2 linked regions of the Drosophila melanogaster genome follow. The gene in region 1 interacts genetically with each later gene. Each region holds a gene or a part of one and is shown in the gene's direction. Other genes may lie near its edges.

What was found. A genetic interaction does not mean that the proteins touch.
Region 2: of spz (region 1) and pip, changing one enhances a phenotype caused by changing the other (phenotypic enhancement), as found in Drosophila melanogaster (one study listed by BioGRID).

What each region holds. Positions count from the first base shown.
Region 1 is NT_033777.3:27,064,564-27,071,757, reverse strand, and holds spz (spatzle), read left to right. Parts: upstream 1-1,687; 5' UTR 1,688-2,548; coding exon 2,549-2,614; intron 2,615-4,262; coding exon of another isoform or gene 4,263-4,400; intron 4,401-4,558; coding exon 4,559-4,636; intron 4,637-4,873; coding exon 4,874-5,150; intron 5,151-5,277; coding exon 5,278-5,659; intron 5,660-5,726; coding exon 5,727-5,904; 3' UTR 5,905-5,955; exon of another isoform or gene 5,956-6,069; coding exon of another isoform or gene 6,070-6,198; exon of another isoform or gene 6,199-6,322; intron 6,323-6,435; 3' UTR 6,436-6,670; downstream 6,671-7,194. Other genes in the region: CG43935 (uncharacterized protein), read right to left, coding at 6,070-6,198. UniProt on the Drosophila melanogaster protein: The activated form, spaetzle C-106, acts as a ligand for the Toll receptor. Binding to Toll activates the Toll signaling pathway and induces expression of the antifungal peptide drosomycin.
Region 2 is NT_037436.4:19,334,565-19,339,125, reverse strand, and holds the start of pip (pipe), read left to right. Parts: upstream 1-1,516; 5' UTR 1,517-1,695; coding exon 1,696-1,784; intron 1,785-4,561. UniProt on the Drosophila melanogaster protein: Sulfotransferase involved in dorsoventral axis patterning in early embryos.

The sequences.
Region 1 (7,194 bases):
GCATTTTATTACGTACTAATTGATAAAGAAATTCTTATGAATCAACAGTGCAGCTGATGTTTCTACGAAATGGCCTCAACTCAGTCATTGGTGCATAATTCGGGGGAAAGGCTATGCTATGAGTAGATATGGCCAAGTAAAATGCATTCTGCTAAGAAGTTCCCGTTTTTCCATGGCGAACGACATCCACTTTGGGCCATAAACATAAGCACACAAGGTAGATCCATTCAGGCACGACTGCGTCAGATGCCGTTTACATGGCGATTACTTGCAGTGTGCGACTTAAAGATGCGGTTTTTTGTCCGCCGTTCTCGGAAATACCAATTGAGTCACCATCTTTCCCAAGCGCCTCAGCACGCTCCAAGGCGGCGACTGGCGGGCTAATTTAAGCGATTCGGATCTGCGGCTCCCATGACGCGTGCGCCAACGGAACTGGCGTTTGCGGCACCCGTTCGGAATATCAAATGTGTTAGAAATATTAGATGGGCTCCAACGTGGGGATAGTTTCATTGGTGGTGGTGCCGAGAGCAGAGCAGTTGTGCTCCGCGAGCTTTGATGCCGAGCTTTGGCCCGGCACCACTTTTACTTTCAGCAGCAACAAGTGCTGGCCGGCACCTTCTCACAGGTCAACTTGACCGACTGTGAGAAGCCCTACACTTGGCTAACATGGGTTTAGCCCGATAGAGAAGGTGGTAATCAACCACCCACTTGCCACAAAGTTTGGTTATTTTCAGCTCGGGGAAATTTCTATATTTTCGGGCTACCTATAAACTTGTTTTCTTTCTGGATTTAAATAAAAGTGATAATTCAATCGCTGCTTCTTTAAGTATACCTAATAAAAAAGCAATAAATCTCTAATCGCGTATGTTCAATAACAAGCGGACAGATAATAGTTAATTACTAAAATGGGTCGACGAAAAGGGCAAATTTGTACATAAGTGTTTATTAAGTACAGTATTCATTATTTCAAACGGAAACTTAATCATCCAAAATGCAGCTTTGATTGACTTCCGCAGATAACAAAGCTCTGACTTCGAGGCATCCAAACATTACTCTGTGGCTGCTCTAACTTTTTCGTAATATTTGTTTTAAAAAATTTTGCGATAACGAAGTTAATTTTTGGTGTCAAATGCCACTCAAACGATATGTACATTTTATGCAAAGCTTTATGGCAACTATGCTGATTAGAATGAATAAAATGTTTGTATGGAATTAGTTTTTGAAAGTATGTTTTTAACTTATGTGTTAAAATAGTACAATTGAGGGTTTGATATTCTTCTTAAAGCTCCAGTGATTTGTATTTGGTTTAACAACAGATGTAATTAAAAACGTTAGTCATTATAGTGTTAGTTTGATGTGCACTTACTTTTCTCCAAGTGTAATATGATTCAGATAATTCCGACTGGTAAAGTTTTTCGTGAAGCAGGCGCAATTAGTAGCACTGCTCGGAGTCAGCTGTGATAAAATCGCGGTCCGCTCGCCCAGACGTCCCGCTCCCTCGCACGACCCTCGCGCTCACTACCCATCCCGCTTCCACCGCCTCTGACCGGCGGCGTCTCGCTCGCGCACAGCGCCCGCTCCCGCTCACACTCTCGCAAGCTAGCTTAAAGCTGCACTTAAGCACTGAGCAATTGTTTGGGGGAGCAGACGAGTCGAGTCGGCGGCCTCTGGGCTCCACTTTTCATTTTCAGTTGCCTCCCAGACGTGCGCTCTCGCTGTCGTGTGTTCTCGATCGCGAGAAATCCAAATCGAAATCGCAGTCGAAATCGAACTTGGTTAATGCTTAACACTCTGCATGCCCGGGAGATATGGTGAAACTCTCGATCTGACCGGAAAATCCCAGCGCGCGTCGCTATAAACACTTAAGATCGGTGGCAGATGGTATCGGGCTTGAGGTCCATAAAAGCGCATTCATCTCGAGCTTTTCGTGTCACTCAAAGACGGCGCACAGAGCCGAAAAGTTGAAGACTCACATATCCTGCGATCAGCTACTTGGATAGCCCATTGCCCAGTTGCAAGCCAAATCGGTTATAAACGATATCAATATCGCGGCATTTCATCAGAGCAACCAAATCGAACCGATCCGAAAACGGTTCCACTAAAGCGGCGAGAGCGAAACTAAAGTGAAAAGCAAACCGACTAATTGAAGTGTCTGTCTGTGTGTCTCGCAAACGTGCAAAGGAAACAAACAAAACGGAATAGCCAACATATCACACAGAGCCACCGCACAAAATATTTATAAATAAATAAGAGGCAACAGTAACACCAGCTACCAGTATAAAGGCCCGGCATTAACATTTAGTCGTGCCAGTTTGTTTATTTTTTATATACGCAAAGCCCATAAAAAGAAAAAAACGCACAGATCACTAAAAAACAACAGCAGCCGGCGCTATAATAACAAAGTTGTAGAAATAAGAAAATTGGTATAAGACGCCACCGATCCGCCAATCACCTGCTATATACTATTACTAATCCCCGACGCAGACGTTCGCCGTCCGCAGAATCTATATATATTTATAAATCCAATTGATTAAGCCCGAGATCGAGCATGATGACGCCCATGTGGATATCGCTGTTCAAAGTCCTGCTGCTGCTGTTCGCCTTCTTTGCCACGGTGAGAAATTTACAATTTTACAAATTTCAAAACAGTCGAACCTCCATAAGGGAAACTTTCAAAAGAAGTTAAAGTTTTAAAATTTAAAGATCTTTGCGTCGAAACAATAATTTATTCCAAATCTATCTAATCTGATAAAAGGTTAAAGTCTCCTTGTCTTCTTAAGACAAGCACTTAAGATCTTAAGACTCCAGAACTTGATTTTTTGTTTATTTGAAACAGGTGCTCGCTTGTTCCAGTTATGAAAGTTCGACTGCATTTCTGTTTTTTTCTGTTCCGTGTTAATCTATGCTTAACATAACTGTCATTTCATTGCAATATATTTCGGGCTATGGGCTTTTTAGCTATTAAGATTTATTTTAGATTTTCCATAGTTGTTCTAGCAGTTCCATTAGCCGAAGGGCAGTTTCAAGTTTAAATTTAGTCACAGACTAGAAAACCTGTTCGCATTGCCAGCGGCAGGTTATGTGCAATTTTCATTCTCTATATGATAAATGCACATCATAGGCATTACAATAATATTAATTGACACAAACAATGCCAGACATTCTGCACACGACTTTGGAAGTAATTTACTGCCGGACAAATTGTATGATCATCTCTGTGAGAAAAGCAATTAGTTCGTATTAATGGCGTCGAATGTTAGAAAATCCGTTTGAAAAGCGCCCGAGAACTTTTGTCTTTCCGGTTTTCCGCGAATTCCGCAGCGGACCGGTTCTAAAGATCGTTTTCAGTTCTAGCTAAATTCCAATAGGTTCACGGAAAACCTAAAACTGTGATGGAAAAACGATCCAATGTTTGCCTTAGTTGCGTCTACGCCAAACACTGATGAACGCGTTTAAAAAAAGGTTGATTGCTAATTGATTGGGAAAAAACATTTCCGAGAAATCGCAAAAGTTCTCAGACAATCAAGTTCAGATGGGTTGGCACCTTAAAGCGGGTTTTCTACATGCTCGTCGAGACCCAATTTTAATTTGGGTAAATTCTGTTGACGATTCCATGGACTCTATTCAAGAATTTAAGCATAATAAAAAGTCTTGACGAGATTAGGGGCTATTATCAAGGCTTATTTATATCACTGCATATACATATATATATAACATAGAAATATTTTAAAGAGTAGCACTAAAAGTGCTGATAATTCTAAAATCGCCAAGCTATTTGCATAATTATGGTCCTCGGATTATCAATACATTAAAAGCAACTATTGGCTTGTTCTTTTATATAAATAACCTTCCGGTTGGATTATGTTGATTTTTATTCAGGATCGGCTTGCCTTTAGATTTTCCAATTATTCAGTCTTTATTGCTTGCGGAAGAGGGACATCCGTTTTCAAGTTGCTAAGCTAGAGGCAACTCTCGAGGGGATTATCAACTCTGATTTTGGACTCTGGCTGTTGTTATATGTATATAGGTTCGGGTCCTAACTCAACGGAACTATAGAATTGCGAGAGAAAACTGCGCTTGCCCGAAAAACAGCTGTTCAAACCTTTTGAATACGCAAATGTAGTGCCCGACAATAGAGAGAGAGAGAGAGAGAAGTCTGGGTTGACAAACAAACGAGCCCGAGCACCGACCCACGAATATATACTCCGTTGTCTTGGCAATGTTGATGAACTGCAAACAAAACTCTCACCTGTATCTTTCAGATAGTTTATATCAATATCGAATTAACGAAGCGACACGAGGCCGAGGTGAGGGCAGAGAAAACAGTGGCAGACTATAAGGCCCTTTTGGCTACCATTAACAATGGCGGACCCGGAAAGTCAGCATCTAATCACTTACAGGTGTGAGCACAGTGTCCCCGAGTGTCCCGAAACAGACCCAGTTGTATCGTTATGCTTAACACCTTAATAGCCTTAATTTGTCTGTGGTGTGGTCAAAACTTCTGAACCGAGACTAAAGTCTATTGTCTTGTCTTTTTATTTCGCCATTTTTGCTACAGTACGAGGCCAAGGAGTATGAACGTATCATCAAAGAGCTTTTTACAATAACCAATGATGAGGGAGTTGTCCTCTTTAATGTAAGTGTATACATAGGCAAATGCATGATTTCTCTGTAAAATGTGTCTTTGATGTGAAACGCAATTCATAGCTTCAAGGACGAATTGGTGCGCTGCTTTCTTATAACTACTCTTCATCCTATATTGCATCCCCATTTCACTGCTCATTTGGTTTCTTATTGGGTTGTGTGTTGTCTTTGTGCTTCCTTTTTTTGCCAATTGGCTAAAGACTAACACGAGTAAATTTTACCCGTACAGACGTCCGCGGACAGTGCACCCTTCATGCCCATACCCACCCAGCACGACGATCCGACCCAGAAACAGAAACAGAATCAGAATCAATCTCCGATACCCGAAACGAACCGCCATTACCATCAGTATCACAGCCTGATCCAACCAGATCAGTACTTCAAAGTGCAGCGCTCCCCGAATGGAAAGCTGAATCTGGTCTTTAACGATACGTTCGTATCTTTGCAGAGGACGGACACGGAGGTGCAATCCGAACAGCCGATACCCCCCCGACATCCATCGGATAGTAAGTACTAAGTATTTTAGCCTATATATGCTCAGTTACATTCGATACCCAAACATGCCTTACAACTAACTACTAAATCGATCCCATACTCACTGGCCAACTGCCTTTGGCGCTTGCCTAATTTTAGCCTTTGTCTTCCCCGATTCCCCCATAGCCAAGTATCGGCCACCACAATCCCCAGCTCGTCCTTTGAGGAATGACACTAAAGAGCACAATCCCTGCGCCAAGGATGAAAGCCAACACCTTAGAAACTTCTGCACGAATGTGGACGACTATCCGGACCTTTCAGGCCTCACACATAAGCTAAAAAACAACTTTGCCAAGTTCTTTAGCAACGATCTTCAGCCCACGGATGTGAGCTCTCGCGTTGGTGGCTCAGACGAGCGATTCCTTTGCAGGAGCATCAGGAAGCTGGTGTACCCAAAAAAGGGCTTGAGGGCGGACGACACCTGGCAGTTAATTGTCAATAACGATGAGTACAAACAGGCCATCCAGATCGAAGAGTGCGAGTAAGTTATAGCTTGAATCTATGATATATTCCATTAGCCTTGCTAATTGCCAAACCTTCCCTTCCAGAGGAGCGGATCAACCCTGTGACTTCGCCGCCAACTTTCCGCAGAGCTATAATCCAATCTGCAAGCAGCACTACACACAGCAGACCCTGGCCAGCATCAAAAGTGATGGCGAACTGGACGTGGTGCAGAATTCCTTCAAGATCCCTTCCTGCTGCAAGTGCGCGTTGAAGACTGGGTGATTCTGGAAAATGGGATTCTCCAGTCGATGGCTGCGACAATGTGATATTGAGGTGAGGCCACGATTTATTCGTACATTAAATTTTAAAAATAGGTACAGAACAGAAACGACTGACTACCAAGAAGTAGAGGATTTCAATGAATCCTTGCGACTTAAGGCGAACGCTTCACTTGACCAACTTGCGCAGGGTCCAGCCGACGGCGTAGAATCCCACCAGCTTTAGGGCCATTCCCTTGCTTTCAGCCTTCACCAAATGCTTAAACTTGTTCTCGAAATTGCCAACGACGCGATCCATCGGAATGAGATAGTATAATGTCTGCAATTCAGAAGTCTTGAAAATATGTTCGAATGCGGATTTTCGAACTGTGCTTTATCAAGTATTGTACTTAAATTCAAGAATAATGTTTCTTGTGATTCGAAGAGTCAAACTTTTCAGACTGAGACTACAACTCTAAATATGTATACAGCTTCATTGACATTATTTCCTTGTTAACTAGACCAAAAATATAAATTGTATCTCTTCTCTTTGCAGCAAGAAGTTTCACCCACCACAGAATGGCAGGCCAAACTGATCAGTGGTCATTGATTTATTCTATAATCTGCTGAATCCACACATAGACCAATGTGCATATTAATTTAGAGCTTTAAGTCGAGTCATTTTAACCATATTCGTGTCATATATTCATTTTTGACTTCCACGTCTAATGCCTAAGCTAGAAATGCAAGTAATTAGTCCTAGAATAAAAACAAAACAAAACACAAAACACAAAAAAAAAAACAAGAAAGATAGAAATAACGATTTGAAAAATGTATGTTAAAAAAAGATAATGTATAATAAATGTATGCAAGTACATGCCAGCAAAGTAAAGTTCTTTGAACCCATCAGCGAGTACCTGGTGGACAATTTATTTGCTTATTAACAATAATTCGGTTCGCCCCGCTGCGCAAACCAATTACACCCTAGTGAGTGTAAACACATTCCCCCAAAGGGGTGGTGGTTGGCTTTCACCGGCAAAAGGATAACATGCATCGACTTCGGCTTCCTGGCGCTGGATTTTTCCAACTGTCAGCGGGGCGTATGCGCGATGTGTCTTGAGGTGCTGGCGCTGGCACATGTGGAAATCAATAGTATTTATCGATTCCCAGACACAATAAACTATGTCAAAGTTAGGCCGAACAATGCGAATGCTTGTGGATTCGTTGTGGGCGGGCAAAGTGCCACAATTTAATTACTATTATTAGGTATCCTTCCCGTTTGGCCAAATCCAGTGTCGTGCCCTGGTCGATTGGG
Region 2 (4,561 bases), on another chromosome or scaffold:
TCAGCGCAATCGGCACAGCCACAAAGGGACAGTTGGCAGCAAAAAACCATGGCATCGGACCGAAGATATAGCCAACATATTGTGAGCGACCACAATTGGACAGCTGATAAACTTAACCCGAAAACCGACAGCCTAACAACTCGTCGGCTTTTAAGTTTCGAAATCGGAGAAAGAGTCTGATCATTCAGATAGCTCAATTATCTCAGTCGATTTGGACAGTCATCAATGCAATAGGCAGCAACTTTACAAGTTTTTAGCTACTCACTTTCTTGGTACCAAATGCTGAAATACCTTTAATTATTACCAGATAAACACAAGACATGTGCCGCCAACGCATTTCGTTTTAATTTTACTTTTATGTTTTGGCTGTTTTTATGTTGAGGCTGGCGTTTTTCCATTTTTTTGCAATTGTTATCGAGAAATTTACACGAATTTTCAACTTGTTGCTGAAATAAAAAAAGTTTAATAAGACTAAACAATCAGTTTTTTGTCGGTCCTAAAAATGTGGACCTATGCAGATAGTTATGGGTAAACGCTTAAATTCGACAGCCGTCTGACGCCAGTTAGTGGACAAGTCAGTTACAGTGAGAGTTAAAAGTTAAGGTACCTGAAAAAGATAATTTAAAGTAATATATGATAAGACACACTTAAATAAAAGAGTAAAGGTATAAATATATTGAAATCTAGTATTAATTCTCGTAAATTAAAAATTCGTACCTCAATTTAATTTTTAAATGTTCTAATTTAATCGGAAAAAAGATTTCTTTGAGGCACTGTGCCATAAGAGTCAACTGTTGAATAAGGGTCAATGAGCTTAGCTTTGTGGACAGCAAGTGGGGAGATCGCGGAATCCAACTCTTGTAGAAACTATAGATTTGAGTTTGGCAAAAATTAAGCTTAGATCCCGAAGTTTGGCTAACGAACGAGGCGAGAAGACAGACATCGAGAAGAATCGCTTATATATGTACGAATGGCCAAAACTAATCGATGGAAATTACAAAAGCGGGAAGGTCAACTTTTCGACTGTCCATTGGGGGGGATGGGTTCAAAGGTAAACCTGTTTTTAATTCTAATTCTCCCTTCCTCTATGAAGAAATAGAAAAAACTAAAGTTCTTATTTTTGCCAACGTGGTTTGGATCACACGCAATATGTTCTATTCAACCGAACAAATTACCATTAAGGTCGGTAAACCAGCTGATCCAATAAAGGATATTGAAACAAGTGCCCGAAATTCGATTCCTTGCGCAGAGAATAAAGACACTTCGCTGTTTGGACGACCTAAATAAATATGTCTAAGTAGATTAATGTCAGATGTGGGGTAATAATAAAAATGTTGCCACAGACAAATGGGCTACAGTCACGTCCCCACGAAATCAGTCAGCCAGCGAACAAAGAGCGATCAAAAGAGCGAATAAACAGAGCCAAAGAGAGTCGAAGAAAATGGTAAAAGCAAACAGTGGTAAGCCGCCGCTGCCAACGTCTTAAAGTTGGCCAAAAAGGCGGCCAAGTGCCCCCAGGAACATTCAGTCAAGCCGCGATCGCCGAGCTCTACGGACGTCTATATCTCTAAGTCTTCGAATCGTGAATCGGAACTCAAGTGAACCCAAGTGCCGACCGGAAAATTCTTTCGGCCAAGAAAGGTCTTCGAGAACTAAGATCTCAAGCGATTGTGTTTTTTGTGTAATTGACATTGGATGTCTCTGAACGCCGAGCGATCGTACAAAATGAAACTGCGCGATGTGGAAAATGCCTTCAAATACCGGCGCATACCGTATCCCAAGCGGTAAGTGTGGTCTTCAGCCGAGAAAAAGGCGGCGGAGAAAAGATTTCTTTCACTCGAGAACGGTGTTCGTTTCAAAGGGGAAATGCAATTGAGTTCCAGTTTCAGTTAAATTGAAAACCGGTCATAATTGCCATTGAATGGCCAGAGAATCGAAATCGAGTTGGTAGATCGAAGATTGCGTTTGCCGCAGCGCTAAAGATTAAAAATACTCTGCTCTCGATTCTCCATAAAAAGCGCTTAACTTTCCGTTTTTCGCATCTGGCTAAAAGTGATAGTGTTTCAGGGTCGTTGTATTTGATAAATAAAATTAAATAAAAACTCCAATTGCTGGCCAGAGCAGTTCGAACATTCTTGACGGACTTTAAGTAGTGCCAGCCAGTAAATTAATTGCAGCTACACTAGAAGAAATAGATATTTTTGATCTTAAATTTAATATGAATCTCATCGACTTAGATGGGTTTATGTAGATCGACGAGCTTTAAGAACTTTATTTTAAAAAATTGATTGAGTACTTTTAATTAAGCTATGAAAAATTGTTACGAATGCTGATATGAGCTTCCAAGTACTGTATCAATTGAAAATATTTTCAAAAATTTATATATACAAAAAGGGGTCTATTATTTATCCTTTTATTTTTTTTGTATTTATTATTTATACTTTGAAAATGTTTTCTTATATTTTGAAGACTTATTAAAAGCAAGTATTAAAGCTTTGTAAACACTGTACTTCAACATTTAATTTTAAATGTTTCATAAACTTTTCTCTGTGCACTTGCGTCTGTCGTTTTTTCAATCTCTGCTCCAGTTAAAAGCTACAATCTTGTTTCTATTTTTTATTGCGTTTTTCATTTTCAATTCTTCTCATAATTCATTTGGTGTAGCACCTCGGGGCGGCAGATGAAGAGGAGGAAAACCACAAAAGCCGAGCTCACTTCAACTATTTCAAGTAGCCAAAAGAGCCGTGTCTTACCACCATCCTACCACTGCATTGTGTGGGCCTGCATTTTTCGGTGTTTGTTCTGGCCTTTTACAGAACCCAACTCGGCTCAGTTCGGGCCAAGTCAGCTCAGATAAAAGTTAAGAGCCCCCCAACTTGACTGCCCGCTCATTAGTCGATGGTCGATGGTCGACGGCCGGCGGTTTCTGCGGCCGCCCATAACAATTTTGGCTATTAAAAGGTGTTTAGGCCAGAGAACTGAGCCACTGCGTCCGCTATTGTGAAAGATTCGCTCTTTTTTCCGTTTGTATGGCCAAATTTGTTGCAACGAGTGCGTCGAGATGTAAACTAATGATATACCGACTACACATGTTATGGGCTAATTGGCTTTTGGGAAACTATTTCTTACCGTTTTTGTTGACTTTTTAAAAGGGTGTGAGAATTTGCTTTTCATTAAGGCAAAACGTGGTGAAGTCATGGCTCACAGCTATTTGCGTATAACTGTGAGATCTTAGCTCAAGCTAATGGCAAATTGGATCAACGACATACATATGTTTTATATTTTATTTAAACATTTTCCCACTTATTGAGTCCCTGCTAGATATCCTTTTTTCCTATAAAGCCCTCGTTAATTTTCGCGAAGCGAGGCCCATTTCCCGTTTATTTGCAGAACAAATTATTACATTAAATGTATGAATTACTGGCATTAATTAAACACATGGCTTAAATGTAGATATGTGTGATACTTTCTGTGGTTACCGCTGGCTGGAGCATAAATTTTACGCTCATTTTGACAATTTCATGCAGCTGCAAACTCTCAGTCAATCAGTTGGCCACTCAGTCAGTCTGCCAATCAATCAGGTAAACATTTATTTTTTATCCATTTCCGATGGCCAGGCGACTTAGTGAAACGAGTAATCTTGCCATTTGCACAACAAAATAGTGCAAATATTTGAATATGGATATGATTTATCACAACAGATACGAATTGTCCTGCAGAGAAACATAAATACATAAATTCCCAGCCATATTGCTGCGTACACTTACGTCGTTATTTGCACAATTCTTTTGTACGCTCTCAAATTGATATTAATTAATGAAATTAATTGGTTTTGCTTAAATAACTCGGCGACAGATGTTTGGCAGCTTCATTATCCGGACACGCGATAAATGAGCATACGTAGAAAATGAGTTCGTTGCACCCAGTTGAGAAAAATCAGTCGGAATCGATTCGAATCGATTTGAAAAGTCAAAAAAGACAATTATACGCTCAATGAGTGGAATGAAGTGCAGTTATGCAATAATTTCTTTCGAATTAGCATAAATTACGTTTCTGATTTGCTTTCCATTTGGATTAGGGTTTACCTAATACAAAAAACAAAACTCACTCTTATTTTCACTGCAAGCCGAAGCGTGACAGAAATTATTTAGAACGCCCCAAAAGAAAGAGGGCGAAGACTCAAGCCGCGCTTGAAAAGACTGTAGCTGGCTCTTCGCTGCCGAGTCTACAAGTCTTCAAGTCTTTCTTCTGTGCGCCTTTCTCAGCAATTCTTCTCTTTCTTGCCAGTTTCTTTCTTTCTCTGGGCGCCACGACATGCAGTCACTTACTCTTTGGTAATTATATTCAGTGATGTGATTTGTTTTTCTTTTCTTCATTTTCTTTCGAGTTTTGCATGCCGTTTTGTTTTATTTTGCCTGTCTTTCTGCAATGGAAATGATGCATATTGGGAATTTTACACGCTGCCGGTGGCCCGCGGGAAAGTTAATTATTGCTGTCTGTCTGCGGCGGGTGGCAAATTAAAAAATAATTATTAACAAAAACATATATATGTGCTAAATTT